Linked DNA regions of Danio rerio. The protein of the gene in region 3 interacts with the protein of the main gene of each other region in a pairwise test. Links are inferred from orthologs where the notes say so. Each region holds a gene or a part of one and is shown on either strand. Other genes may lie near its edges. The genes, in order: bag3, stam2, arrdc3a, nedd4l and wwp2.

What was found.
Region 1: the proteins of arrdc3a (region 3) and bag3 interact in binary tests that used the Homo sapiens proteins (3 or more experiments, as listed by UniProt). The two-hybrid records come from large-scale screens. The link is inferred for Danio rerio from reciprocal best matches to the Homo sapiens genes ARRDC3 and BAG3.
Region 2: the proteins of arrdc3a (region 3) and stam2 interact in binary tests that used the Homo sapiens proteins (3 or more experiments, as listed by UniProt). The two-hybrid records come from large-scale screens. The link is inferred for Danio rerio from reciprocal best matches to the Homo sapiens genes ARRDC3 and STAM2.
Region 4: the proteins of arrdc3a (region 3) and nedd4l interact in binary tests that used the Homo sapiens proteins (3 or more experiments, as listed by UniProt). The link is inferred for Danio rerio from reciprocal best matches to the Homo sapiens genes ARRDC3 and NEDD4L.
Region 5: the proteins of arrdc3a (region 3) and wwp2 interact in binary tests that used the Homo sapiens proteins (3 or more experiments, as listed by UniProt). The link is inferred for Danio rerio from reciprocal best matches to the Homo sapiens genes ARRDC3 and WWP2.

Annotation. Positions count from the first base shown.
Region 1 is NC_133188.1:28,713,565-28,719,126, reverse strand, and holds the end of bag3 (BAG family molecular chaperone regulator 3), read right to left. Parts: coding exon 5,378-5,562; intron 3,906-5,377; coding exon 3,252-3,905; 3' UTR 2,069-3,251; downstream 1-2,068. UniProt on the Homo sapiens protein: Co-chaperone and adapter protein that connects different classes of molecular chaperones including heat shock proteins 70 (HSP70s), e.g. HSPA1A/HSP70 or HSPA8/HSC70, and small heat shock proteins (sHSPs), e.g. HSPB8.
Region 2 is NC_133184.1:39,753,744-39,760,154, forward strand, and holds the start of stam2 (signal transducing adapter molecule 2), read left to right. Parts: upstream 1-2,358; 5' UTR 2,359-2,483; coding exon 2,484-2,523; intron 2,524-5,062; coding exon 5,063-5,147; intron 5,148-6,411. Other genes in the region: hacd2 (very-long-chain (3R)-3-hydroxyacyl-CoA dehydratase 2), read right to left, coding at 1,735-1,859.
Region 3 is NC_133180.1:53,057,682-53,064,106, forward strand, and holds the start of arrdc3a (arrestin domain-containing protein 3a), read right to left. Parts: upstream 4,213-6,425; 5' UTR 4,031-4,212; coding exon 3,751-4,030; intron 1,646-3,750; coding exon 1,564-1,645; intron 1,471-1,563; coding exon 1,323-1,470; intron 1,232-1,322; coding exon 1,129-1,231; intron 820-1,128; coding exon 563-819; intron 1-562. UniProt on the Homo sapiens protein: Adapter protein that plays a role in regulating cell-surface expression of adrenergic receptors and probably also other G protein-coupled receptors.
Region 4 is NC_133196.1:12,310,057-12,316,037, forward strand, and holds part of nedd4l (E3 ubiquitin-protein ligase NEDD4-like), read right to left. Parts: coding exon 5,900-5,981; intron 3,796-5,899; coding exon 3,610-3,795; intron 1-3,609. UniProt on the Homo sapiens protein: E3 ubiquitin-protein ligase that mediates the polyubiquitination of lysine and cysteine residues on target proteins and is thereby implicated in the regulation of various signaling pathways including autophagy, innate immunity or DNA repair.
Region 5 is NC_133200.1:37,283,961-37,289,941, reverse strand, and holds part of wwp2 (NEDD4-like E3 ubiquitin-protein ligase WWP2), read right to left. Parts: intron 5,918-5,981; coding exon 5,761-5,917; intron 5,028-5,760; coding exon 4,906-5,027; intron 1,610-4,905; coding exon 1,472-1,609; intron 1-1,471. UniProt on the Homo sapiens protein: E3 ubiquitin-protein ligase which accepts ubiquitin from an E2 ubiquitin-conjugating enzyme in the form of a thioester and then directly transfers the ubiquitin to targeted substrates.

The DNA.
Region 1 (5,562 bases), on a different chromosome or scaffold from region 3:
GTATTTTTGGGCAAGCTAAAAAAACATGAAAATGGTTAGCCATTGAGGTTTCACATTGTCCCCAAAAAGAGCCCAAACTTTCAATATCTGTGTGCAATGCAGACAGTTTAGGGGTTATGAAGAACCTCATCAGATTTTTCAATCTAAACTCTCTGCAAGCTCTTGACGAGCTGGGATCATTTTGATAGTGTTGTCTGTTTTTGCTAGAGTGTTGTGTCAACATACTTTAACTGTTTTGTATTAACTTTTAAGTGAATTGAAATAATTTTTTTTAGTAAGTCATAAAATCTTTTCGGCATGTTTCTGTAATATCTAGGGTAGGGGTGAAAAACTTGTATCACTGTCCTTCATAGCTTTGATCTTTCTAATATCAAGGGCTGAATGTATAATTGCAGATACTTTCCTAGTGAACAAAACAGTATCTGTGACCTACTTCTTGCAATACTTTGAAAAGTGTATTGTACAGTATACAATGGACACTTTGCTTTTTATGAGGCCATGGTACAGGATTTGTAACTGGCAGTGATCAACACAGTTGATGCTGATAATAAATCATGATAATAATAACAACATGGTAATTTTTATACTACACATATCCATAAAACATACTAGGGGCAACAAAATGGTGCTGTGGGTAGCCCGATCGCCTCACAGCAAGAAGGTAAATTATGGCTGGTTCAAACCTCTGATGGGTCAGTTGGCATTTCTGTGTGGAGTTAGCAGGTTATGGGTAAGCTAAATTGTCCTTAGTGTGTATGGATGTTTCTCAGTGATGAGTTGCAGCTGGAAGAGCATCCGCTGCGTAACACATATCCTGGATAAGTTGTGGTGGCGCTGTGGTGACCCCAGATTAATAAAGGGACTAAGCTGAAAAGAAAATTAATTAATGAATAAAACATACTTTATAGTTAAATTTAAGTAATTACATTTAAAATGAGTATCCACTCAAAAACTGCAACCAGTGTCTGCCTTCATTAGAAAATAGTTGGAGCTAAAAATGGCCAGGAATTTTACTATATTATTCTTCATTATTCTTGATGTACTTTATGGTCAAATTTTTATTTATTTATTTTTTATTTTTTGTGGAAAAAAACAAACAATATATCAGTACAAACATCTTTGTTGTTGCTTTTTTTTCAAAAGAAAAGAAAATATATTAAAAAAAGAAAAAATAATGATGATAATAATAAAAATGGAAAAGAAAAACGGAAACCAGAGTAATAAGTGTACAGAAAATTACAACCAACTATCAATGTTGAGAGTAAATATTTACAACTAAACAGTATAAAGTAATAATAGTTTAAAAAAAAAGCATTTATTACTATAAAATAAATCGACTAATAAAGAAGGATAGTGCATCTATAAATTGGAAGGCAAGAGCTTAGGAGAGTTAAAATAAGTTTTAAAACATTGCCACTTTTTAAAGAAATTAGTTTACCCAGAGCATCTAATCTTTTCCAACTTTAGAAAATGCATGGTATCTACAAGCCACTGGGATGTAGTTGGAGGCTCATTTGGCTTATTTGGTTTCCAGTGTAGTAGAATAGTGAGGTAAAGGCCAAAATTTCAAGTTGTTTAGAATTAAACTGGGACCAAATCTTTGGAACCTCAAAAATGGCAACATCAGAGGATGGGTTTATATTTACCAGCAACGCCTGGGACATAATTGTAAAACAATTAATCCAATAATTTTGTAACAGAGAGCACATAAAGAACATTACACTTTGGTGCATGACATCTGTCACATCTGTCGTCAATATTGGGAAAATTTTCAGATAGCCTGGTTCTTGAGAAATGGATTCTATGAAATACTTTAAATTGTATCAGGCTAGGGCGAGCCCTAATTGTACTAGAACGTATTCTCTGCAGCGCACCAAGCCACTATTCTCTCTCAAAACATAGTCCCAATTAATTTTATCTTGATGCATTTTTTATATCAAAGTTCAGACTAAATAAATTCAGCATAATACTATAATCCCACACTATAATTCTTCAAGTACTTTACACTAATAAATACTTATTAAAAACTTTGAAGCTTTGGTTGTAAATGAAAATCCTGGAAACATCATTTTAGCAAAGTGCTTTATTTAATTGAATTTTTTTTATTTGCAGTCATGCTTATGTGACCATATCGTGTCGACATTTGAACAAACTGCAAATAATCAAGCTGTGAACACTGAACATTGCATACTATTTCACAAAACAGACTTTGAAACCAGTTTTGTTCGCAGTATTAGTACGATATCTGAGTCAGTAACAGGTCATTGAGATAAAAAAAGAAAGCCTCACAAGCTTTATGTGAGACATATAGCACTCTGCTTTGAATTAAATTGAGCTAATAGATTATACAAAGTCATTTTTGGTACACTTTTGGTTTCCCTCAGAGCAAGTTATGATTAAGTTATCTTGCTCAAGGTCACAATGTTGACAAAACAGGAGTCCACAACTTTGCACTGACCCTGACTGCCTTAAAAAACAAAGCCTTAATCATAAAGGCGACCATACAGTATATTCAATCAGTATTTTATCATACTTATTTTTTTTGAAATTCTCTATTTTTAAGCAGAACATTCATACTAGTTGAAATGTTCTTTTTGGCACAGAAAAATAGAATAAAAATATAGCATTATTTGTATCCTTTCATTCAACAAATAACAATACTGACAGGCGTTCAAACCATCACAAGGAATTCCGTCAGCAAAGCTTGCTCTCAACAATGACCTATTCTTTGATGTTAAAGATGTTAAAATGTTTATATTCTAAGGCATTAATTGTTTATACAAGTATGAAACAAAATAATCCCATAGTCCAAAACCAAAAGTCTTAATTAAAACATGTAGATTTCTTCATTTTAATCCACGTAATGCTAAAAATCGAATTAAAACGTTTCACGCTGATGGCTCACGACTTCAAAAACAACATGTTTTCTTAAGGAATACTCTTCATTCATTCCACATGGTACAAAAGATACTTTTTGGCCGTTAAAATACTTTCTTCTGGTTCAAGGCCTCATTTTCAGGTATGTTTCTTAAATAAAACTGATCACCATTATGTCTTTTGCTACAAGACATTGGCATGGTGAGATTTGACAACAGCAGCATCACATAACAGCACTCAGTAAACAATTTACGTTAGATCATTTCCAACAGAAAAATTCAATTATTTGTGCATGCAACTAATAATAATTGCACAAGTAAAAAGAAGAATGGGGATTATATTAGTGTTCTCAAATGTGTGCCTTCTTTGAGCAGTTATGAAAACTCCTTGACTCTCTCTGTGTTCAACTGGTCAATCATACTCTGCTCTCCTTTTGCCTCATTTCCAGCCTGCATCTCTCCGATCATCTCCAGTTCGTCTAGAATATTCTGAACTCTGCGGACGCCGTCCCTCCGAGCCTGACGCACATCTGGACGACCTTCTGGATCTACAGAGTCCAGAGCTAGCAGTTCTTTAGTCAACATCTCCTCCAGTACCAAGTATCTTTTATCATTCTTCTTCCCATCGAAGCCCTTGACATTCTGTGCCAGCTTCTCCACACGTTCCACTATCTGCTGCACTTTGACCAGTCCTGGGTGGCTCAGATCTTGTTCCAGAGTCTCTTCAGGCTGGAGTTGCGGGGACGAGACTTCTTGAGGCGTTTGAGGAGCAGCTGTTTCCTGGGGCTCTGGTGCTGGAGGAACTTGTATGGTAATATTGGATGTTTCTGATACCTGCGGGGAGGGTTGTGCTTTTGGCTGAGGCTGCTGTGTAGGTTGTTGTTGTTGTTGTACTGGCTGATGATGTATCTGCTGGGGAACTTCACTCACTCTTTGAATGGGAACCTCAAATGTAGGTACTCTGATGATTTCTTCAACTGGATGTTCAATTTTTGAAGGTATGGCTGTGTGTCCAATATGTTGCTGCATCTAGAAATGAAAACATATTCTCTTTAGTTTCATTTATATGTACCTCTTTTATTTACTTATTTATGATTACTTGATTAATAATAACAATAAATATGACATAAATGAACATTAGAGGTGCAAGAAGCAATTTATGCCAAACAATATTATTTGAAAGTACCAAAAATAACAACCCAGGCTAATTCTGAAAATGTACCTCGATATACATTCCTGGAGACCGCCAAATACATCCCAGGAGCTACGTATGTTTTGCAGTTTTTGTTTTCGCGAATTCACTAGAGGCCACTGTGTGCACTTTTTGAGATTTCAAATTTCCCTCGTGAGTGCAATTCGCTCCTGTTGTTTTTATGTAAATCCACCAGAGGCCGCTGTTGACTGACTATTTGACTGTCTGATTGACTGAGTGACTAACCGATCAGCTGACCCACCCTCCTCTTTCCATAAACCCAACCAATAATATTTTTAAAAGCACCCACTGACCTGCCCATCCACATCCCTAAACCCAATCAACAATTTTAAAAAGCAATCAAGAAAAAGAAAAGACCTCGCCAGATTTTTTACTGCGTTTTCAGATTTTACCATACTTTTTACACATTCTTACCATATTGTTTACATGTTTATTTTCATCGTGGTCAACTCCTCTTTTCGTCTCAAGTCTGCTGGCGTACATGGTGAGCTAACCGGACAAACTAGCAACAGCATGAAAGCTGTCCACTTGGAGGTAGTCAGTAGCGTTTGTTTTAAAGATAAAATGCAGCCATATATAGCTCTGGCTACATAATTCGCGATCTCCAGAAACGTACATAGGGCTACATTTTCAGAATGAGCCTATGTTGAAAAATAATACGCCAAAACAAACCAGCCTGATCAAAAAAGGAAATGTAACTATTTTACTATTTGTCAGTTTAGTGGCTAATTCGCACAAATTTGTACGAGTTCAGTCAAACGTAAACGTAAGATTTTAAAAAGAAGGCATAGCATCCAACCCCACCCTTAAACCCAACCGTCATTGGGGGATGAGCAAACCATAATAAATCTAACAAATGAGATCATACAAATTCATACAAATTAGCCACTAAATCAAAAGGTTACAAATTGTCATGGCATGCCCTTTTTGAATTCTCCACTAGTGTTACTAGACAAACCCCTTACTGAAGATTGGCTGCAAGTGTGTTTTGGGTATCGGTCAGACACTGGTGTCATAAGCATTTCTCAAAAATTGCTAAGTGCACTTTTGAACAGAAAATTCATTCAAAAATGAAAATTATGTCATTATTTATGCATCCTCCATTAGTTCAAACATGCTTAAGGTTTTTTCTGTTGTTGAACACAAAAGGAGATATTTTGAAGAAACCTGTAGCCATTAAAATGAAAATTTTCCTTCTATCAATGTCAATGGCTACACTTTTCTTTAGATTATGTTTTTTTTTTTTCATCTTTCAGTAAAATATCCTCTTGATAAATAACACACATACCTGAGGCCTCTCTCCCATGATCTGAGCCATGACTGGCGACTGGGCTCTTAAGGGGACTTGGATGGGACTGGCAGCACGGTTCTGTTGAATCTGAATGGGCACTTGTTCACGGTAGATTTTTTCTCGAGTGGGATGAGAACTTTGGCTAAGCTGGGATGGCAAGACCCCCCCGGCACCCTCATGGA
Region 2 (6,411 bases), on a different chromosome or scaffold from region 3:
ATTACACATCTGTCACATCCATAACAAAGCTTTTTCCTCATAAATGCAAAAATTTTAAATAAAATCAAATCGAAAAATGTTTGGGGGTTGTGTAGTTTAGTTCATAGAATTTCTACAAAGTATGTTGTAGACTGTAAACTCGCAGACTTTTTTTGGTCGCATCCATAATGTATGTTTATTTTCCTCATACAAAATATGGTGAGTTGCTCTGGAAAATATAAGCATGTTTCAATATAATCTTAACAAACACTTTCTATGTGAATTTATGTTTTGTGTTTTTACTGCAAATGTCACATCCATAACGCTGCAATTGCTCATATGTATATATATATATATATATATATATATATATATATATATATATATATATATATATATATATATATATATATATATATATATATAATCCTTTAATATACAGTTATACAGTTCCATTGTATAAGAATTTTTCTCTAGAACACTGACGAAAAATTAAAACTAAAAGAAGTGATTTTAACTAATTGTTTTGATACTTTCTTTAATAGAAATCCAGATGTATTGATTATTTTAAGGCAAAGTATACTCAGGAAGTATGTTTTATGCTTCACATTCAACATAAATGTGCTCAATATGTAAGATTTATCAACATTTACATTATGCTCATGTCAAAAAACCAGATAAGGGATTTAGAAACAAATCGACTGTATTGAATTGAAAAGTTGCCGAATTGGACATTATTATGCAACAGTTTCTGGTCAAAAAAAAACTAAAAAAAACTAAAAAAAAAAAAAAAGTGATTTTAATAAATAATTTGGATAATTTTATTAAAATTAATTATGTTTTTTCGATTTATTTAAGGCAAAACATACTCAGGAAGTAGGTTTTATGCTTCACATTCGCAATAAAAGTGCTCAAAATGTAAGGTTTATCAATATTTACATTATGCTCATGTCAAAGAAACATGAGTGATTTAGAAATAAATCGGCTGTATAAAATCATTATAATGCAACAGAATCTGGTCAAATAAAAACTAAAAGAAGTGATTTTAACAAATGATTTGGATAATTTTATTAATAGAAATCCATTATTTTTTTTTTTTTATTTAAGGCAAAGTATAGTCACAAAGTATATCCAATGCTTCACATTCGCCATGAATTTGCTAAATAAGCTTTACATTACATATGCTCATGTAAAAAACAACGATGAGTGATTTAGAAACGAATCGGCTGTCTCGAATCGAATCGATTAGTTCCTGAAACGGACATTATTGTGCAACAGTTTCTGGGTTACTAGGTCTAAGGTGCGCTTAATTCACTGCCTAGTCTAATGTCTACAAACTATACAAGGCTACATTCAAACTAACAAAGACACTAAATTCACTACAAGCCCTGTTACAACGCTGCCCAAACAAACCAGCGACTGTAAAACAAGAACAATGCATTCATGCAACAACAACCAATGCTCGCTGTCACCCATCACCAACCCTACGGCGAGTTAAATAAGCGATAATAGGCTTTACGTTACACCGCATTTGGATTGCACAGCAGACATGTGCAGAATAACTTTGTTGAAATGTTTCAGCTTTCAAATTAAACAGTGTTAAATAATACAATATAGACTCAATGGGGGAGGTGACCGCGATTCTGTCATACAGGCTGAAGAAATCCAACCATTCATTTCTGCTGTCACACACACACACACACACACACACGCTTGAAGAGAGAAGCACGGAAGCGCATTTGATTTCCACCATACCCTGCTGTCATAATCACGTTGTAAATGACCAGATATGCTGTGGCCAGTGTTCCGGGGCCCTTTTTCTTCTTGTGACCGGACTCACTGTGCGCTGTTTTGCTGGTCCCCATGGCAGGTGCCGACATGACTGAACTATCATTAGAAAGACTGGATCATCCAATGGTCCCGGTGGATAAAGGCGTGTGGCCTTGCTGACATGTAAAAAAGCTGCTTATGAATCCAGCGCCCTCTGGTGAGGACAGAGTGTAAACAATGCTTTGTTTTTTCAGTTACAGACTAGCGTCGTCTTTTTCGCAAGCATTTACATCAAATACAACTAAAATAATATGATTACAGTAATGTATGTGAATATATTGAGATTATTTAAAGTGAATTATGATGTTCTAGAAACATCTAAACTAGCCGCTAGATGGCAGTGCGAGTCTTGAAGTCAGAGCGCACTTCTGACTCAACCTATGCGCCTGTCTGAAATATAAACATATATATTTTTAAATATGCACAAGTATAATAATTTACTGGTTAAATTTTGAGTATTAATATAATTTGTGAACATGCTGCTTTAAATGTAGAATATGTTGACAGTTTCCTGGATGTATTTTCTGGCAGGCATTGCGCTCGTCTACTAAGTTTACGGAAGAGCAACTGGTGGAAGTGAACGCAATTTAATGGATGAGAGAAGGATAAATCGTCGATCTACGTAGATAATACGCTTCAGTTTTTTTCTTTGACACATAGGAAAAGGTTACAAAATGCCGTTGTTTGGTCAAAACCCGTTCGATCAGGATGTGGGTGAGTTTGGCAGTGTTGTTTTTGTCGAAGTGATGTGGTCTTGACAAGTCAGTAACTAAGGGCCGATCCAGCAGCGCTCCGTTCACTGCAAGATCCTCAAGAGCTCTGTTATTGTTTTGTTTATCGGTCATTCATAACTTATTTATCAAAATCTAACTATTAAAGCTGTCAAATGTAAAATAGATAACTGACAGTGTCTTTGGGATGTTGTTTTGAATTTCAAGAACTTTTTAGATGAACACTAAATGCTGAAATTATTCTTTTTTCCATCAAAATTTCTTTTATTTTGAATTATGTCAACACAATAAACATGACGTAGATGACAGCATAGCAGTGTGCATAAGAAAATACATTTAATAATCAAAATATAGGAATACAGGTTTTTGAATAATATTAATATTTGTAATAAGGGCAACAACAATAATAGTGACAATAAGAATAAAAAACTGAAGAATAAACGACAAAGACATACTAAAACAAATGATAATTATAAATATATACACACACACACACACACATATATATATGTACCGGTCAAGTGTTTGAGGTCAGTTTTTATTAAATTCTTCATTTTTTTAGTTAATATTGTATGTAGTTTCAAATGAAATTATTACTCCGTTCATTAATGCTTTTATTACTTTTTTCATTAATTATAAAAAAATAATAATCATAATAATTAATATTAGAGAGATTTCTCATGTGACTCTGAAGTAATGAAGCTGAAAAAGCATCTTTAAAATCACTGGAATTAATGAATAAATTAAATTATAAAGTACTTTTGAACAGTTATTTTATAGTGCAATACCATTTTACAATTGTACAGTTTGTCCTGTAATAAAGGCAAAAAATAAAGGCAGCCTTAGTGAGCAGGAGAAGCTTATTTTAATACACACACACACACACACACACACACACACACGTATATATATATATATATATATATATATATATATATATATATATATATATATATATATATATATATATATTATATTATAATTATTATTACTATTAGGCCAGCTCAAAGTAAATAATTAAAAGAATAGTAATAAACAAATAGATTAAGATATTCGAAAACATACTGATAGAAGTCTACGGCAATGAAGTAAAGTTAGTAAAAGCCCAAACAGGGAACCTTAAACAACTACACCAAAACCATAAGTTTTTTTGTTTTTGGATGTCTCCTTGATTCAAATTATATTGAAATTGTTTTTAAATTTATTTTATTGCTTGATTACTGACAAAAATATTTTTTAAATATATATTTTTGTGGCAGGGTCTTCAGTACGAAATATGAAAATTCTTTAATGCTCCAATAAGTCATATAAAAAAGTAATAATAATTTAATAATAATAATTTATTAATATTTAATAATTTAATAATAATAATAGTTGTAATAATACTTTCTTTATATGCTTTGATTTTATTATTCTGGATGTTTACGATAATATTATTTATTATTATTTAGTGTAAAATAATAAATTAATCTAGTTAAAAATAATATAATAAAACATAATTGTGTATTTTTAATAATAATTCATGCTGATTTTAAGATCAAAACGTTCATTTTTAATTAAAAAACGTTTTTATTTTATGTTTTATTTTATTTATTTATATTTATTTTTAATTTCTAGTAAGCTTAAGATTCAGGTATTTATTCTGTATGTTATATTAAAATATTGTTTCATATAATTTAGTATAAAATAATAACAAATAACTGTAATTAAAACAATGTAATTATAACAAATAATAATGTATTACTATGCTGATACTTATGATCAAAATGTCCTGTTTTAAAAGTTTCTGATTTAAAAAAAAAAACGTTTTATTTTATGTTTTATTTGATTTATTTATATTTTTTATTTCTTGTAAGCATGAATGGGTGGAAGATTAATAGGAGCTCAGTTGTCAAAAGGCGTGGAACCTAACAGCACACAATAGCATGATCTTTGGTTTTATTTTCAAAGCTTTGTCCTTTTAGAATTCAGTTTATATAAACGTGTGAAACTGTATGTTCCTTTATGGAGGAAATTAAGGCATATTATTATTGTTCATTTTATTTATTTATTCATGAATATGTACTTTTCTAGATGTTGCAATTCAAGACGTCGTTGTTACGAGTAAGAATTAGTCATAAAAATGTGCCCAGTTGCTTTGTTCTTAAAGGAGGGGGCAAATAATTTCTGCTGGTGGATTATGACAGAAACTGTTGTGCCTGTTGTGACAAGCTGTAAATGTAAAATAACAGGCAAAACAGGCTGTCACTGCTTAACGGTATGCATATCTTATTTTCAATAAACCTATCCTTCGAACTCAGGGATGCAAAACTGATAACTAAAACTAAAAGATTTTCTTTTTAAAATTGTGGTTTTTATTAGTTTTAGTTTTTTAGTGTTTTGTTAACAGCATTTATGGTAAATGAGAAGACATTTCCTCCTGCTGGTTTAGACGTTTGTCAAACACTTATCAGTTTTTTTGATATGGTTCTAGAATGACCTTGCGTTAAGAGTCTCATTTGAATGCTCATTTGTATTTTCAGAGAAAGCAACTAGTGAAACCAACACAGTGGAGGACTGGGGCCTCATTATGGATATCTGTGACCGTGTCGGGACAGCTCCAAATGGGTGAGCTGAAAAATCAACACGCAAACAATATATGAATAGTTTTTCTAAATTCTAATTTTATTACCAGGTAGTTACCTTAATGTCACTAGTATATAGGGATGCACCGATCCTGATATTTGGATCAGATATCGGTTCGATAAAGAGCCATTTGAGGAGAGCTGAGCTCCAGCGAGGGGGAGCATGAGCTGTCGCTCCTCCTCCTGTAAGCTGTTTTAATGCGTACACCAACCCCACCCCTAACCCTACCCCCAGTGACATCACTCGCAGAAGAAGTGCAAAAAAGGTGGAGCTCAAGCTTAAGCTCCCCCTCGCTGGAGCTCAGCTCTCCTCAAATGGCTCTGCAGCGAGCACCACTTGCATATTTTTGCTGGATTGGGTATCGGCTAGGCTTGGGCGGTATCCAAATTTTGATACCGTCAAACCGCCTCCATATTTTACCCCGGTATCCGGCGTAATAAAAAAAAATTATGACGTAAGGCTCAGACAGCGTCACCAAACTGTTGGCTTAAGCCTAAACCATTCAGAAACTGAATACATTCTATGCGACCTTAGGCTCGCGGAGAGAGAGAGAGAGAGAGAGAGAGAGAGAGAGAGAGAGAGAGAGAGAGAGAGACGCAAAGCGACGCACAGCACCTCTCTCTCTCCCTCTCTCTCTCTCTCCCTTTTACACACACACACACACACACACATCTCTCCCGCGATTTATTCAGAAATTTACTCCCGTAAGAAATCTGGCCGGCTCCCGCGGAACAGCAGTTATACCCGATAGGTCCCGAGTCCGACAGGTACATTTTGATTGACAGCTTTATACAGCCCAAACCCGTTCACAGCCTACATTAAATGTGCTCATGCACACAGCTCTAATGCATTTTTTTCAAGAATGAGTCATTTATATGTTTTAACATCATTTATTCGTAACAAGCGTAGACTATAGGCCACTTGAAAGTTGGAACAAAGAAATAAAATAAGTCCTACAGCTGTAACATCGTAACATCTCAGCACTCTATAGGTCTAGGTAGGCTACATGCACTTAGCCTTTAAATTAGCCTACACACCAATGAAAAGTAATCTTGCTTAACAAATCAAATTAAAATAAACTCTAAATGGTGACGGGTATTTTGGCAATAACGAAATTAAGATAAAGGCTCTGCAAGATGTGTTTCTCCACTTCTCTTCACAATCTGGCATTAAGGCGGCGGTGAAGCTGAATATTAAAATAATAATGCCACCATTAGTCTGTATACTCTGTCTACATTATGATTAT
Region 3 (6,425 bases):
CTCACTTGTAACAGACTCGATATTTGGATGATAATCAATATGTCATGACATAAGTCAATTCAGTCATTTAAGAATACAAGGATCCTGTTTAATTGAGTAGGGACGACCTTTTCATTGTGCCAGAGAATTTCCAATTAATTTAGAGGAACAGCCTCTGCCAAAAGGCAAGAAACTAAATAATTTGTTTGCTTCTCAGCATTCTCAGTATATCAACGAATTGAGCAATAAACTGAAGCAGTAAACTCTAATATTCAGATATAAAAGTCAGCATCATTGGTCCTGACCATTACAGTAGTAAAGCGGTAACAGATTGGTTTGAAGGGTTAATAGGTCATTAGCACTCAATGACCTGAATTTCATTAGATATTCTAAGCTGATCTTCTTATCAGTATGTTCGGGTAGAACTTGGCATAATCTCATTATCATTCATAGTGCTTCATGTGTGGAGGAGCCCTTCGAGGAACCGATCTTTCAGCTGTTTGAAACTATGTTATAAAAAAAAAGATAGGGAATTGTACAAACTAAAATAAATACAACATTTTTAAAAAAGCACAAGGCTTACCATAAGTGAATACTCCACTCTTATGATACTGCAGTCCAGGATGGAGGGCGATACAGGAGGAATCTTCAGCATCTTTCCATTCCATGTCTCTGTCTTGCCAGAAGAAAGCGACTCTCCTCGGATGTTGGCCACCAATTGCTTGATTTCCTTCATCTTCCCTTTGGCAAAGAAGGTCTGTGTTTGGTAAATGGCGGCCTTTGGCACAACCATACGCGAGGAACAGTTTTCAATTTCAGCAAAGATCTGAATGGACTCTCCTGTGAGAAGACAAAATGTATTGTTATAGGTACCATAAATTATAAAGACTGTAATAAATCTGTAATATCCAACAAGCACTAAATGGCAATAAAATTAAAAACACAAATGTATATATATATTCAACTATGCCTTTTGGTCATTTTATACAACATAAAAATCAGAATAACAAAACTGTAACTTCAATTAATAGATTTTACAAACATTTCAATCTGTTAAATCGAAGAAAATATAAACAATTACCAAAATAAGTTTTTAGAAACCCTAGTATGATGCAAAATATTGAAAATGTAAACTATTAGGAGGCTTACCTGGAGTATAACCCTTTCGTTCAATTTTGGCACTTAGGGAAATTGGACCTGAGGTGCAAAACCAGCAGCATAAAGTCTTTTCTTTAGTTCCTGCCTGCGGAGACTGTGAAAGTAGAATAACAACACTTTAGAATACAAAATAATGGTTATTCTCCAATGCTGAGTAAAGGGATGTAAATGATGCAAACGCTCACCAGCAGAAGAGGAGTGTTGATGTCTATGTGTTCAAAGACAGTGAACTCTTTCTTTGTCTTCATGGGCAGAAGCCACGGCCTGTGCAACTCAGCCTTTACCCAGTAGCGCACACTGCCATGCTTCCCTTCGAATGAGGTAGCCAGAGGTCTGCATGTGCACGACACAAAGAAACATTTCATTAAGCATTACGACATACAGAACGGGTGAACAAATGTTAGGTCTGGTGCCACATCCACTCACGTTTGTGGAAGCTCAAAGCTGAATGCATACTCATGCCTTCCTGAATGAATAGTGGTGAGTCCCTCCTCGGAGTTATCATCATCTGAAACAGAAAAGAATAATATTCCAAATATACCTTACCTGCCAAAGCATTGATCATCTTCTTGTTTATTACACGATTGAATTTATTCAAAGAGCATACTTGTAAATCAAGAACATGTATAAACCAAGTTGTTTGATTCTCATAAACCCTCAACACCCATGAATTATGAACATGTATAATCATTGTGTCACATGTGTTTATTCTAAAAGGGAGATAAAAATACTCATAAGCGCTACGGCAGTTCATAAGAAGGTGAATGTGAAATAAAATAACCATTTAAAATCGAATATTTGTTTGTGTAACACTGAAAAACACCGGTGGCTTTCGTTTCGCCAGCTCAGCACTGTATTCAGCTTAGCAGAGGCACGGTAAACAAGTAGGGAGCTGTCAATCAAGGGCAGACTCGAGCAAGAGAAGACCGGCCTAAACCGGAGCCCGCTGCTTCACTGTGCCGGCGCGCTCATTACGTATTCAGTGTGCGGTAACGCGCGCGCGCGCACAGGACCAGCAGGGACAAGCCTCCCATTGAATGCACGCGTGTGCTGCGGCGTGGAGTATTTTTCTCCCATTCAGCAAAAACACGTGAGAAAAATATGACAGATTGAAAAAAAAAAATCTCACACCAGCAATCACAAACGACAGAAAAACGATCAGTTTCCAAAACAAATTCACCTTTATTGTAACCCAAACATTCATACAGAAGCAGTAAGTCACAATTAGACATTGTTTCGACATTATTAGACATTACTTCGATTCGAAATATACAGGAAGTTAATTTCTTTGAAATTACAGTAAGCATGCAACTAACAAAATCATAACATGCACTATCTGATTTGTATACAGAGTTTCAACAGGCAAACATTACAATGTTTCTCCATCTCAAGCTAAATATTATGGAAAACATGTACAATTTGTATTTACTAAAACCACGTTTGGCCCACTTGTTATTTCGTAATGTGAGTTGAAGTCCTGTTCGGTGCCAGCAGTACAATGTGGAACAAAGCGGTGGTTGCAAGTTGTGTGGCAACAAACGACAACTAAACTGTCTGGTGATTAATATCCATAAAGCATGTACAGATGCAAAAACTGGAATGCGAAGAGTCTCTTTGAGTTGTTGTCGTTTTTGCACGTTTGGAGTGACTCAAGGTGCCAGATCAAACATATAGAAACTAAGAATCAGTTATTATAACCAGGCCGTGAGTTCTATAAATGCCAATAAAACTTCCGACCTAATGAATATGCAAATAAGTATTTACAGACATACAACGTGAAGATATCGGACGTTCGTTTTAGATTTTATAATTGCACCGGCCAACTCCATGAATGAACAGTAATGCAGATATGTTGTCGGCCTTTTTCTGATGAACGTTTGACTGCATTTCAATTCAGCCCCATAATAAGTGTACGCTTGCTTACTACAGCTACTGGTGCAAAGTTGCTGCTGTTTTCCCCACTTTCCGCAAAAGCATGATGTCATAGAAGACACGTTGACGCCTCCACCAATCAGAGAAGAGAACGACTAGACACTGCATCAAAACAGGATTGAACCGCTTCTAACAATGGGTGGAAACTTAAGACATTAAACCGAATTATGTACCATTACGCCTTTGTACTGCATTTATTTTATAACATTGTTCTCCCAGAATCAACATACAGCGGTAGAGCACAGAATGCGAATATCGTTTTAATAAAACTGTAGTACAAGACGAGCAAACTGACCATTCATTCAAGCAGCTGACACCTGAGAGAATACTGATATGTTGTTTAGAGTACAAAAGAGATGCTGAACATCACGCATTTGGTAGATCTAAACGGAAAATGATCTTTGCCAGATGGTTCTTGTGAACGAATGCGTATGTCATATATTGGGTGTTTTTAATTTGACAAACAACTCAATCAAGTCCCGCAAATTAATGCATAATTACAGTGTGAAAAGAACTGAAATGTCTGCACACAATAGTGTCTACAGGTTCACCAGTCAACAAGTACTGTGCAGCATCCAAAGAAGCCTATGTCATGTCATTCTGGACCACTGAGCATCCCACCAGAACATTCATATCTGCTCTTTTTCTGAACAAATCTACATGTTTGATCGGCATGCTTACCTCTTTCATGGCCAATTAGGATGTCTCTATGATTGAGATATTCCACTTCTTCTGTGTAATTTTGAGTGTAGGCAGTGCTGGATCCAGCATTTCGTGATTCTGTCCAACGAACTTTCGCAAATCCTTTTGCGTTTATTTTAAGAGACTTCACGCGAATCTCTCCGGTGACTTCGATAATAACTCTTCCTGAGACGGAGTCCCCACTCGAGAAAACAGGGACATTGCTGTCATTAAGACAGTCGTAGCTTACAATGAAGCTTTTTACCTTTCCTAGCACCATGGTGGCAAGAAAAGATAATGTACAAAGTTCTTTAGACAAAACAAGAAAAAAAAGTCACACGGAAAAGTCTATGAAAATAATCTCTTATGAAAAAAGCAAGAGTTAACACTGGATAGTGTCATTGAGATGCGAGAGCTGAATAACAGCAAAGGATGCTGTTATCACGTCTCGGCGAAGGCTTGATGGTCTGCAATGAAAGACGGGGAGATTCTCCCCACCGGCTCACTTTAAGCGCTGCTCTTGTGAAAAACAAGTTAGTGCGCATGCGCGAAGCTGCAATCCGTCCCCCTTCTTCCGCTTTTTGTGCAGTTCTTTGACCGGGGACTCAGGACAAATAACAAGCGAACAGCTGAGCAGTGTATTAAAAGAATACGTGGAAGTCTAGACGTTATTCACAAGTTTTAGCTTTGCATTATTATTTTAACTTTTTGTATAAAGTGCCATGTGTTTGTTACATTTGTTACATGTATCAAAACTGAGCTCCGGTTACTCAATGGGGGAATAATACACAATGAACATTAAATACAAACCTTTGGCAATTTATTGCTATGATGACTCCAGTAATATATTTATCCATTGTTCCAATTTTTTTTCTTTATATAACTACTTATTGCACTTAAACGTAGCCTACTTGACCAAACAATTTATATATTTGACTCGATGTTAAATAAATACATAAACAAATAGAATAACTAAATAAAAATAATGCTAATGTAATTTGAACTGATTATTTATTTTATGAGAATGTATGTAAGATTATGAATACACTACATCAACTAACTTAATATTCTGCTCATTTTACAGATTTTTTCAGACTCTAAATGTCATGCTTAAAATAATATTTTATAACTTTCTGTAAGTATATGCATTTGTATGTTACAGTATGTACTTCCCTTTCAGTTTATACAGACGCAGATTCTGCATCTGCTGTGTACAGTACATGCTGGTACAGGTTGTACAAACCGATGCGCCACTCAGCGGCTACAGAAACTCCTGCGCCTGCTCGTTTTCTTTAGTAGCGTTTGTGTGTGAACGAGTTAAGGTGGATTGTGCTGCCCTCTGGAGTTTCAATAGTGGGACGTAATTCGAAAATTATTTCCACTCAGAAGTAATAGGTTTGTATGAAATAATTAACTCTTTGTGATATAATGCCAGATTACAGCGCACATATTACAAAGCATATGGTTTCTTGTGATGTTTGTGTAGATGCCCTCCACTAATATCTAATATAGTTAAATGTGAGCAAAAACGGCTCTAGAAAAAGTGTTCATTTTTTAAACGTTTATGTTTTGCCTATATAATAAATATCAAAACGTATCAATATCAAAAAAGAAAAAGAAAAACAGGTCAGCTATCAAATAAATCACTTGCTGTTAATATATTTATTATCTACTTCGATAATTAACAAAACACTTACATAAAATATAAGGGAACGTGCATATAATTGAAAAAGGATAGTATGCAGGTATTTTTAATGAAAAAAATATTTAGTAAAAAAAAAAGAATAAAAACGCTACAGTTTGACACAGAAAGGAGCATCTATCTATCTATCTATCTATCTATCTATCTATCTATCTATCTATCTATCTATCTATCTATCTATCTGTCTATCTGTCTATCTGTCTGTCTGTCTGTCTGTCTGTCTGTCTGTCTGTCTGTCTGTCTGTCTGTCTGTCTTTCTGTCTACTTTAAAACTATTAGAAAGCTATATTGAATGGTCAGGAGAGAGGAGTAAACTAGGGCTGGTCTGATTTGTCAGAAGGTCTATTGACATTCAGGAACTTTCTTTTGTGTGCAATCATTTCGGGGATGGTAATGTTTGCTTGAATTTGCATTTACCCAAAGCGAAATAGAAATGAAACCAGTCTTTTGTCGTTACACAGAGGTCTTTTGCCATATTCAGTTGGCAATCAAGTTAAATCATTTCTTTTAGATTTTACCTCAAGCAAAGCTCTCGCATCATTTAAAGATATTATGACTAATTTTAAGAAACCTGCGTTTATTGTATCTCTGTGGATGAGCATTTTCAACAATGTAATCATGACAGCTTCTTTATTTGTTCAGATGCTTTTGTGTTGGCCACTACCTCTGTGACTCCCATCCTAAAAAGTGTGCCGCATACATATGTTTAGCCAGAGGTCTGTTGCCATTACTTGGTGGGATATCTAGGCTGAGACTAACAGTAATATCTAAACCCCACTGTTACCAATTGCTGTAGATTATGCAGTAAATAACTTTAAAAGTGTTTTGCTGTAATAAAACAAGACAGTATTTTACTGTAAAACAAGATTTTGTATGAAATTTTGTAATGCAAAGAATAAATTACAAAGTTACTTTATGTACACATTACAGGTAGTAACTGTGACCTTGAATGGTAAATTACTGTTCAACAATT
Region 4 (5,981 bases), on a different chromosome or scaffold from region 3:
TTTAAAAAAATGTGCAATGCATTCAGATGTTTAAATTAATTTTCTTGACAATAGAATATTAAATATTTAATTTCAGAAGAGTTTATAAATCACTACTTAGATTTTAAAACATTTGTTATTCTGATCAATCATCATTTTCTAAGGAATAAAATGCCAACTTTATTTGGGGGGGGAGGGGGGGGGGCAGACCTTTTCAGACCTTGTCAGACCTTTTCAGAGTAGAACTAATATTAACAATTTACTCAAACCCACACCTAAAAAAAACCCAGAAAAAGACATTTTTTCATAGCGGTTTATAAAGATTCATATGCAAAGTTCAGCTGTGTCCAAAGCGGTCTGATTTGACTTAGCTAAGCTTTTGAATGGTATACAGGTAAACCAGCAAGTCATTTAAATCAACCATCATACAGTATACACGTGAATATCTATATACTGCACACGGTTTAATTTGCTTAATGTGGCAGCTGTCATGACTGCAAAATTTTAGCTTAGACCCGGCTAGGACACATAATAATTAGCATAATAATTAGGCATATAATAAAAATTAGAACGTTAACTAATAATCGATGTGAAATCCACAATTCATACAGTGCAGTGAATTTTAAAAACATTGTAAAAGAAGGCATAAAGTGAGAAATGTTTCCCAGCTGAGTGTGTGGAACCCCTGCGCTGCCTCCACAGTGACTCACTGACTGATTCAGAGCTGCACGTGTATGCGCGCACTTCAGAGTCAGCTTTTAGATTTGACAAAATGTACTCACCACCATTTCAATACGCTGAAGAGGAATAAAAACATGCCAATTTCCCACCTCAATCTTCTGAATAAGTCTAACATTTTCATTAGTCTAGAAACGTCCAGCTAATGTATTGTTCTTTTGAGGGGCAGAAAAAGTCTTAGTCAGCATCTGTTGTTGAGTCAAGGCCAGTGCTGTCTTAAAAAGCCTGAGTGTATAACTTCAGCTTTTATAACACAAGCTTTCAGCCAAATGACAGAAAGAACTCTGCGACCATAAAGCTACGATAGATTTTATGAGCTGCAAGTTGATTAAAAGCAGTTATGATGGACTTACTTGGGATTAAAAACTACATAACTACTACATTTTAAGATTGTCTTTGTTAAAAAATAATAATACAAATATTTCAAGATTAGATGTCTGTGTCAAACTAAGGGCATACTTTACGCAAGCACGAAAAATGACAGTGTTTATTTGTGCTCAATTTGTTTCTGCTTAACCCAAATCAAGATACACTACCTGGCAAAAGTTTTGTCACTTATCTAAGTTTTAGGAACAACAAATAATAACTTGACTTCTAGTTGATCATTTGGAATCAGACATGGCTTATATGAAAGGCAAAGGCCTTTAGATTACGCTGATGATCATGCCTTGATTTTTAATTATTTAATTAGGACAGTAAGGTCTGAGTTTGTTTATACAAAAGTCTTGTCACTTTAAAGAAATAATATACAGTATAGAATATAAAGTCATGCTGGATTGGAAAAGGAATGAATATTGTGTCTGACTCCCATGAGCTTGGAGGACTGCATCCACACATCTCTGTAATGACTCAAATCACTTATTAATAAAGTCATCTGGAATGGCGAAGAAAGCGTTCTTGCAGGACTCCCAGAGTTCATCAAGATTCTTTGGATTAATCTTCAATGCCTCCACCTTCGTCTGGTAACTGGGCTGGCCAATTGTGAAGGACCTGGGGCCTCACGTATCAACGCGTGCACAAAAACTTTTCGTACGCCCGATTTCACGCTCACGTTTGGATTAACTTACGATGAAATGGACGTGAGAATGTGCGTTGGTCCACGCCAACTTCATGTCTGGCGTACATGCGTTTCTTGTGTGTCATCTGCATTTCTAGCAGGTATATAAGGTTTCCATACCATGCAGCAATCGCCGGTTTTCCCTATCTAATCAGAGTGATCGACTGCACGCACGTTGCTATGAAGGCGCCATCTGAAGACGAATTTGCATACGTGAATCGGAAACATTTCCATTCAATAAATTTGCAAATAATATGTGATGCTCAAATGTGCTTAACATAATTCACACTTATTAATGATTCCTACTTGTCTTCCTCGAGATGAAGAGTAGGCAAAATCTGATATTTGATGGGGGAAAAAAGAAGAATGAGTTCATCAGACGCTGGATTCGAACCGAGTTCATGATCGAACGTGTCAAAACATGTTGCCATGCCCTTTACGAGCTACGCTACTCACGCTACTGATTGCAGCGCTCTTTAGTTCTGTTGTCTCTGTCAATCAAACGGTGATGGGCGGGAATCACTCAACTAGCTCATTCCAACGAGGTGTGCTAATTGCACTTAGCCTAAATAGACACTACAAATTTTTACATCTTTACAGCCAACCATTTCTTTTTTAATTCACTCACAGTGCGATGCTTAGACCCCAATGTGTTAACCGCGTCAGCTAAACTCTCCACCTCTATTTTTTTCATTTGCTATTAACGTAATTCCGGAGGACAAACTTGCAAATAACACCGTTTTTCTCTGGTCTACCTCCAAAAGGAGCACCTCCGATTCACATTCTGTTCAAAGTTTCTCTTTTTGCTTGCTTTTGCCATTGCTTTTTCGTTTGGTTTTGCCAAAGTAGAGTCATTACCATATTAATTAGGGGAGGAGGCAGGGAGGGGTTTTGCACTCGTGCACGTGCGCTCAGTTTCACATTAATTCGGATGTACAAAGAGAATATGTGTGGGATTCCAGTTACGCAGTGTTTCATGAATCTGATTTTTTACTGCGTACGCACATATACAGCTTTGTGTGTACGCAATGTTTTAGTATGCATTCAATGCAAGTCTTCATACATGAGGCCCCTGGACCTGCTTTGCCTTTGCTTTCAGGAGCTTTGATGTGAAGGCTGAGACGGAGTGCTATCTTGCTGAAAAAATGGCCCTCTCCTGTGGTTTGTATTGGGTCCACAAATTTAAGACTTTTAAAGACCCTTTTAAGACCATAAAGAATAAAATTTTAGACTTATACAAGATTAAGATTTTTTTCTAGTGGCCTAGTTTTATCATAAGAAATCGTGTAATTAGTTTTAAGAATTACATTTAGGGAATTTGCTGTAAAATATACGTCTAACTGCTGTTGTAAAATGTATCTCTTCAGTTTTATTGAAATGTATGTCATTTGGTGACTCCTAAAATGGAATGCATTTGATTAAACTATTAGAGTTATCATATTTTATCCATAACCTACAAAAAAGAAAAATAGCTAATAGTTACATAAATAAACAGGGTAACTATTTTCCATTGGATTGCAATCCCTGGGGTCATTACATTAGATTAAAGACACAGCAATAGGATGAGATGCAGCAAATTGATTTCATGGCACCAGGTTAAACTTTCAGACACCTTTAAAGCCCTCATGTAGATTAAAATAAATACAGGCAACAACTGAACATGGAGGATGGTCTCGTTCTCCAAAATTAAACGAAGAATAGATTTGGGGCTCTTGGTGTGTGAAGGTTTGTACATTTATAACCTGCCTTGTTTGACCCATATGCAGCAATGTTACGTTATAATGGAGGATTTAACAGATTGAAATGTTTCCTATAACCAAGCGGTTTTGTCTTACCACAGCAGAGCTGGGTCCCGGGATTTCTCCGTTGGTGTCTGGAGCGAGAGACAATCTAAGGCTGATCTCATCTGAGAAGTCTGGAGTGCTGGAGAGGGGCATTGCCAGAGAGGAGGGTCCCGACAGAGAATGGTTCAGACCATCTGTTAATAAAGTCGGATCTTCCTCTGATATGGGCTCCCATGACTGAAAAAGAGGGAATGTTGCTTGTATCATAAGAAATTGTTGTATTTAGTTTGTATTTGTTAGTTAGATAATATACAGTGCATTCAGAAGGTATACATAGTGCTTCACTTTTTCCACATTTTTTTATGTTACAGCCTTATTCCAAAATGGATTAAAATAATTTATTGCTTCAAAATTCTACACACAAAAGCCCATAATGACAATGTGAAAATTTATTAAAAATAAAAAAACATGAAAAAATCACATGAACATAAGTATTCACAGTTTTTGCCGTGAAGCTTTAAATTGAGCTCAGCTACATTCTGTTTCTACTGATCATTCTTGAGATGTTTCAGCACCTTTGTTGGAGTTCTTCTGTGGTAAATTCAGTTGATTGGACATGATTTGAAAAGGCATCTGTCTATATAAGGTCCCAGGGTTGATGGTGCATGTCAAAGCACAAACCAAGCATGAAGACAAAGGAATTGTCTGTAGACCTCCGAGACAAGATTGTCTCGAGGCACTTGGCTGGGGAAGGTTATAGAAAAAATTGTCTGCTGCTTTGAAACTTCCAATGAGCACAGTGGCCTCCATCATCCATAAGTGGAAGATGTTTGGAACCCACACGACTCTTCCTAGAGCTGACCAGCCATCTAAGCTGGGGGAGGTCAGGGAGGGGATTAAAAATCCGATGGTCACTCAATCTGAGCTCCAGCGGTCTTCTGTGAAGAGGAGAATCTTAAAAGAGGGACGACCATCTGTGCAGCAATCCACCAAACAGGCCTGTATGGTAGAGTGGCCAGACGGAAACCACTCCCTGCCTAGAATTTGCCAAAAGGCATCTGAAAGACTCTCAGACCATAAGAAACAACATTCTGTTGTCTGAGGAGAATAAAATTGAACTCTTTGGAGTGAATGCCAGACGTTTGGAGAAAACCAGGCACTGCTAATCACCAGGCTAATACCATACCTACAGTGAAGCATTGTGGTGGCAGCATTATGTTGTGGGAATATTATTCAGCAGCAGGAACTGGGAAACTAGTCAGGATAGAGGGAAAGATGAATGCAGCAGTGTACAGACACACCCCTGAATGAAAACCTGCTCCAGAGTGCTCTTGACTTCAGACTGGAGCAACGGTTCATCCTCCAGCAGGACAATGACCCAAAGCACACCGCCAAAATATCATTGGAGTGCCTTCACAACAACTCAGTAAATGTCCTTAAGTGGCCCAGCCAGAGCCCAGACCTAAATCTCATTGAACATCTCTGGAGAGATCTGAAAATGACTGTACACCGTCGGTTCTCATCCAACCTGATAGAGCTTGAGAGGTACTGCAAAGAGGAATGGGTAAAAAATCCCAAAGACAGATGTGCCAAGGTTGTGGGATCATATTCAAAAAGACTTGAGGCTGTAATTGCTGCCAAAGGTGCATCATCAAAGTATTGCACAAAGGCTGTGAATACTTCTGTACATGTGATTTTTCAGTTTTTTTTTTTTTTATATATATATTTTTTTTAATTGACATTTACATTTCATGTTGTCATTATGGGGTATTTTGTGTAGAATTATGAGGATATAAATTGATCCATTTTGGAATAAGGCTGTAACATAAAAAAATGTGGAAAAAGTGAAGCCCTATAAATACTTTCTAGATTCACTGTACTTAATAACATAAACAAACACTGAACACAAACAAATATTAATGAAAATTTTAATAAATTTAATGGAAGTTAATGAAAAAAGTTGTTTATATTTACTCACACTCCACTAATTTCACAGCATGAATTTGGATTTTAAAAATGCATTAGTAAATGTTGAATTATGATCAATAAATACTGTACACATATTGTTCATTATTAGTTGTAAATTATTACATTAACTAGTGAAACATTACTGTAAAGTGTGACCAAATATATATATATATATATATATATATATATATATATATATATATATATATATAAATATATATATATATATAAATATATATAAATATATATATATATATATATATATATATATATATATATATATATATATATATATATATATATATATATATATATATATTCTGCTTTATTTAATTATGATGATGTTATCTGGCTTCAGAGTTGAAATACTAACGTCGTCTATGTCCCTGATGTCCAGCTGCTCATTTTCCAGGTCTTCGCTAATGTGCCGTCGAGAGCGGAAAACTCTGTGGGCT
Region 5 (5,981 bases), on a different chromosome or scaffold from region 3:
TTAAACCTTAAAACCATTTAAAATGCACTATTTTAATTTTAACTTGAAACAATTTTAAGCAGCTCTGATCCAATCAGTAAGATTCACCATTTTAACATTCAGCATAAATGTGGACAAATAGTCGGTGCAATAGCCTAGAGATTAGCATGCCGACATATTGTACAGTAGCACATCAGGGCATCCTGAGTTCAAATCCCAGCTCGAGAAATGATTACTTAAATGACATTTTTAAAGACTTATTAACCTTGACTGGTCTAAAAGACACTGTTTAAATAGACTTTTAACATTTAAGTTTGTTTAAAAATGTTTACTTAAAGATTTGAAATTTGCAATGGATTTTAATTTGAAACTTCAAGTAGGAAAGGGTTTTAATTTTATAGTGCTTATAAAATGTGTCTTTAATTTATGGTTTTAAGTTAGATTTTTTAACAGAAAAGGTTGTAAATTTGAACTGTTTTAAAAGGTTTAAAATTTATTGGTTTGTGTTTGAAAATGTTTTAAATAGTTTTAAGTTTTAAAACCTGTTTAAATGTACAGTAAAGACTTACTATTGTGAAATATAATTACAATTACAAATGTTTGGTCACTACATAAAAAAAAATTAATATAGTGACAGCTCCTTTATACAGGAACAACATTTTAAAATAAATCACTGCTTATGCTCTACAAGACCTCTTTTAAACACTTTAACCATAATTATCCCACACTTTTTGGACTCCAAATCATACCTTAATTTCTTTCGTTCTCTTTCTTTCTTTGCTGTAATACATTGGGTTCAACAATTCCTTGGGTTCAATCTTGTCTCAATGCAAATTGATCAAATTAACTTAATGTTTTTTTTAAATTTTAAGTTTAACAAAAACAAGTTGACTCTAAAAACTCAATAATTGTGTTTGAGCTCATTTTAAACAAGTGGTTTAACCAAGCAGCTAAAATACTTTGTGTACCCTGACATCACCATATTTCAAGGTTTTTAAACCAAAATCATTTTAAATCGGTTAAAAAAAAAATTTAAAGGTTTAAAGGTAATCCATTTGAAATGGTCTTAAGTCATAACTAAAACAATTATTAAAATATAAGGCAGCTTTGTACAGGAACAACATTTTAAAATAAGCACTATTTTAAACTTTCAAACACACTTTTGTTTTAATCATAACTCCACCACACTTTTTGGACTGTAAAGTAAACGGTGTCTTTTTCTCCTCCAGTAAGAAAGTAAGAGAACGACTTCCTCTCCACCCCGAGCGAGTGTGTGAACAGATTGAGTTTGTGGTTGTCAATAAACCCTGTGACCTGCAGGAGAAAATCTGAACACACACACACACACAGGAGAAAAGCTCTCTGTGAGGCTCAAACCCGCTCTGTCCAGCACAGCCTCATCAATGTGCGCTTGTTCATGCGTTTGTTCTGTGTGTTCTAGCAGTGTTCCCTATGAAGTGTGCATGTGTGTGTGCCAGTGAAGGGGACTCACTGTCTGAGGCGGCGCTGCCATTGGGCAAAGATCCCAGATCAACAACCAGGCCGTCCAGACAGACGTTGAGCTCACCGCCTGCTACAACCGAGCCTTTGTTCTCCGTCTGCAGAACCAGACTGAGCTGAACGTTCTCCACTGAGAGAGAGAGAGAGAGAGAGAGAGAGAGAGAGAGAGAGAGAGAGAGAGAGAGAGAGAGAGAGAGAGAGAGAGAGAGAGAGAGAGAAGAGAGGGGGGGTATTATGTGAATTAGGCGATGAAACTAATTGTTTAGCACTAGCAGAACAATACATTGATGCCTGTCATTAAAAAAAAAAAAAGGTAGACCAATAAAAACATTAGTGATGTGCTTATAAACACATGCATGCACACACACTCGCTTGAACATGTATGCACACGCACGCATACATGAACATGTATGCACATGCGCACACATGCAAATGCATGTACGCACACACGTAAATGCTCATACGCTTGTGCTCACTCAAACATCAATGCGCACACACACACTAACATGCACAAACGCATACGCTCACACATGCACGCCCATGCATAAACATGTACAAACATGCACGTATGCATGCGTGCACAAACACACACTTGCGCAAATGCACACCCAAACATGCACGAACACGCACACACACGAATGTACATGCATGAAGACATGCACACGCACGAACAAGCACTTGCACACACGAACGCAATGAACAAGTGCACAAACACTCCAATGCACGCACATGAATGCACACACGCACTCATGCACGCTCGTGCATACACACACTGAATCCTAATTTGCAATAAAGGAAAGCTTAAATCTTGACTGTTAAATATACTGTTGTTTCGTTTTTGTTTTTAGTCTCTGATTTGTCATTTGTTTTCACAGGTTCTATTTTAATGTTAACATCACAGGTGCTTTAGCAACAAAAACATTTTTCATAGCAAAACTCAATTTGCTGAACATTATAAAAGATTAAAGATTTTTTATTTGTGGACCCATTTGATGAAGCTTTTCATGATTTCAAATATGATCAAACTTTAAATACATTTCAGTAGGAACACGTCAGAGAAAAGTATGAGCTTTCATCAGAACAGAAATAAGTGTACAGCTGGAATATCATTTCCTGGATATTTTGACATTTAAAAAAAATCACATAACCCATTTGAAACCTTAAAAAAAAAAGCCACGCATTAATTCAAAGTGCTTTCTATATCAGGCTTTCTGCAGGTTTCACAAAGACTTTAAGACCTTTTAAGACTTGCAGAACAAAACTTTAACATTTTTCTTTGTAATGGGCAGTGGATAATTTACATGCCCTATTAAAAAAATTGAAATTTAAGCCACATTTTAAATAGTGTCAAAACATAGTTTTATATATAAAATGTATAATAAATATATATGTTTTAGTTTCAAAAACTATTTAAAAAAAAAAAAAAAAAAAAGGACATTTTGAAGCTGAGAGAAAATTCCAAAATAATGCTTTATTTTAATCAGAGCATTGTTGAAATATTCGTAGAACTTATTATAGTGCTTTATTCTCAGTATTTCAAATCACTATTCTTACTGTAAATCTCTCAAAATATTAAATATGTGTTACTACTTGTTTCAAAAAACTAAACGACCAAAAAAAGTAATACTTTTTGGAATTTATTGGGAATGTTTGCTCTTGGATGTGTGTGTGTGTGTGTGTGTGTGTGTGGTTTTTTTTTTTTTTATTACCATAAGTTTTAAAAAGTATAAACTAAAATTTATTCACAACAAACATAAATGCATAAATACAGGGAGAACTTTGAAACAAATGTTATTGTAAGGATGATAAGTCGCTGTCGCCACTGGCTTGCATGGTTCAGGATCTGAAAAGCTACTCAATGAATTTACCCTTCAGTGTATGGACTCAGTAATGATTTCAAACCACACTGAACTGAGCTAACCTGAACTTAAAACTGAACTTAAACACTAAAAACTGAACTACCCTGATCCAGTTACTATGACCATTTATGTGAAGCTGCTTTGACACAATCTACATTGTAAAAGCAATATACAAATAAAGCTGAATTGAACTGAACAATACTAACAATATTACTTTTGTTAACAGTGTTTTTATAGATGGATTGTTGGTTTTATAGCTATAAAAGTTTGCAAACATTAAAGTGGTGATTTCTTTTCTTTGACCAAAACACACCAAACAAAACAAATAAAATAAATAAGCCAATAAACAGAAAAAGCCCAAACTAAGGAAATAAGGCTGACAGTCTTAAAAACGCCATCACGCAGCATTTCTCTGCTTTTCTGCAAGCACAAAACTGACTCAGAAACATCTTTACCCACTTTACCCCCAAAAAAACTCTGGGCCTAACCGCGCGGAGTGATCTGCTAAACCCTTCCGGATCATATCAGAACACTCCAGTATTAATTACACACCAAACCTGCACAACAGACCGTTATTCCCAGAACTTAAAACAAATCAATCTATTTAATAAAGAGCATCAGGGTCAGTGTTCTCAGATATTAGTGAAGTTGCTCCTCACGCACCTCGAGAGGCCTTTAAATCAAGTGGGGAAAAAAAAAAAAAAAAAAAAAAGGTTCACTCATTACATTGGCTGCACTTACACTGCAGATCTTGATGGTCAATACGATTGTGACTGTATGTGATTTTTTTTTCATTTCTGCTCACATCATCTTTTAGAAGTGACTCCTGAACGGTTCTCTGCATTTACACTGCGCAAAAAAAAAAATAATTAAAAAAAATTCGGACGCTGACTGACAGCTGATAATGAAAAAGCGCTCTTTTCTCTATTCTTTTATTTAATCTGTTTGCAGAGTTTCATTTATTTATTATTATTTTTGACAAGTTGCTTTCCAATAGTTTGACAGAAAAGATTTGGCCATCTTCTTTTAATCTAGGCCTTTTTAAACGAGTAGGCATCTTAATGTCATGTCCATGGCGTAATATGTGCACGTGATGCATGCAATAGTTTTATCAGTTTACATTGGTTATGTGGTGGATAGTGCTCTCGCTCTCATATCCGATCTGTGCCACATGCAGAAAAAAAAAAATCTGAATTAAGTCACTTAAACCCTGCAGCGTAAACTCTGCCATAATCTGTCATTATTTCTCTAAAACAGTGGTCACCAAACTTGTTCCTGGAGGGCCGGTGTCCTGCAGATTTTTGCTCCAACCCTAATCAAACACACCTGAACGAGCTAATCAAGCTCTTACTTGGTATACTTGAAACACCCAGGCAGGTGTGTTGAGGCAAGTTGGAGCAAAACCCTGCAGGGACACCGGCCCTCCAGGACCAGGATTGGTGACCCCTGCTCTAAACCAACAAACAGATCTCTGCATCTGTGCTTGTCTGTGAGAGTTAGTGTGCAAGCGTGTGTCAGTGCATGTGAGAGTGAGTATCCGTGTGTGTTTGTGTGGGTTTAAACTCACTCTTGCCATCATGTGTTCGTAGAGTGTCCAACAAGTCGATGGTGGCGCTGCCCAGAAGCTCCTTCCTCAAAGTGTGACAACTCCACACCTTCAGATCCAGACGACTCTGAGGAGTCACGTTCCTGCACCACACACACACACACACACACACACACACACACACACACACACACACACACACACACACACACACACACACACACACACACGTTAGGAAAAAAATATATATACACACACACACACGTAAGTTACGTATAAGGACTAAGTTGGTCAATTAAGACGAGGATGCGCTAGTAACCTGAGCAAGTTAAATGGTAAAGGGAGAGTTTTTATAATATAGTTGAAGTCAGTACTATTCACCCCCTTCAAATTTTTCTCTTCTTTTTTAAAATATTTTCCTGAATGTTGTTTAACAGAGCAAGGAAATTTTCACAGTATGTCTAATAATATTTTTTCTTCTGGAGAAAGTCTTATGTTTTATTTCGGCTAGAATAAATCCAGTTTTAATTTTTTTTAAACACCATTTTAGGAACAAAATTAGCCCTTTTAAGCTAATTTTTTTCGTGATAGTCTACAGAACAAACCATCGTTATACAATAATTTTCCAAATTACCCAAACTCGCCTAGTTACCCTAATTAACCTAGTTAAGCCTTTAAATGTCACTTTAAGCTGTATAGAAGTGTCTTGAAAAATATCTAGTCAAATATTAATTACTCTCATCATGGCAAAGATAAAATAAATCCATTATTAGAAATGAGTTATTAAAATGATCATCATGATGATGAATTAATCAGTTTTCATGGCACTTCTTAAATATTATATTCTTCAATGAAAAGTGACGCGTGAAGGCTTACAGTGTGAGGTCTTCATTCCACTGCAGCTCGAGGTGTCCGCTGCGTTTGCCCGTTTTCTTGGTCTCGCTGCTCAGGCCGTCGGCGGTCACTTCCACAAATGAACTCAGGCGAGAGTGACGATTGGGCAGTTTAGGAGACTGAGGCTTCGCAGACAACACTAGCAGATGAGGAGAAGACGATGAACACTTCAATCAAAACAACTTCAGTGAGAAAGAGAACAT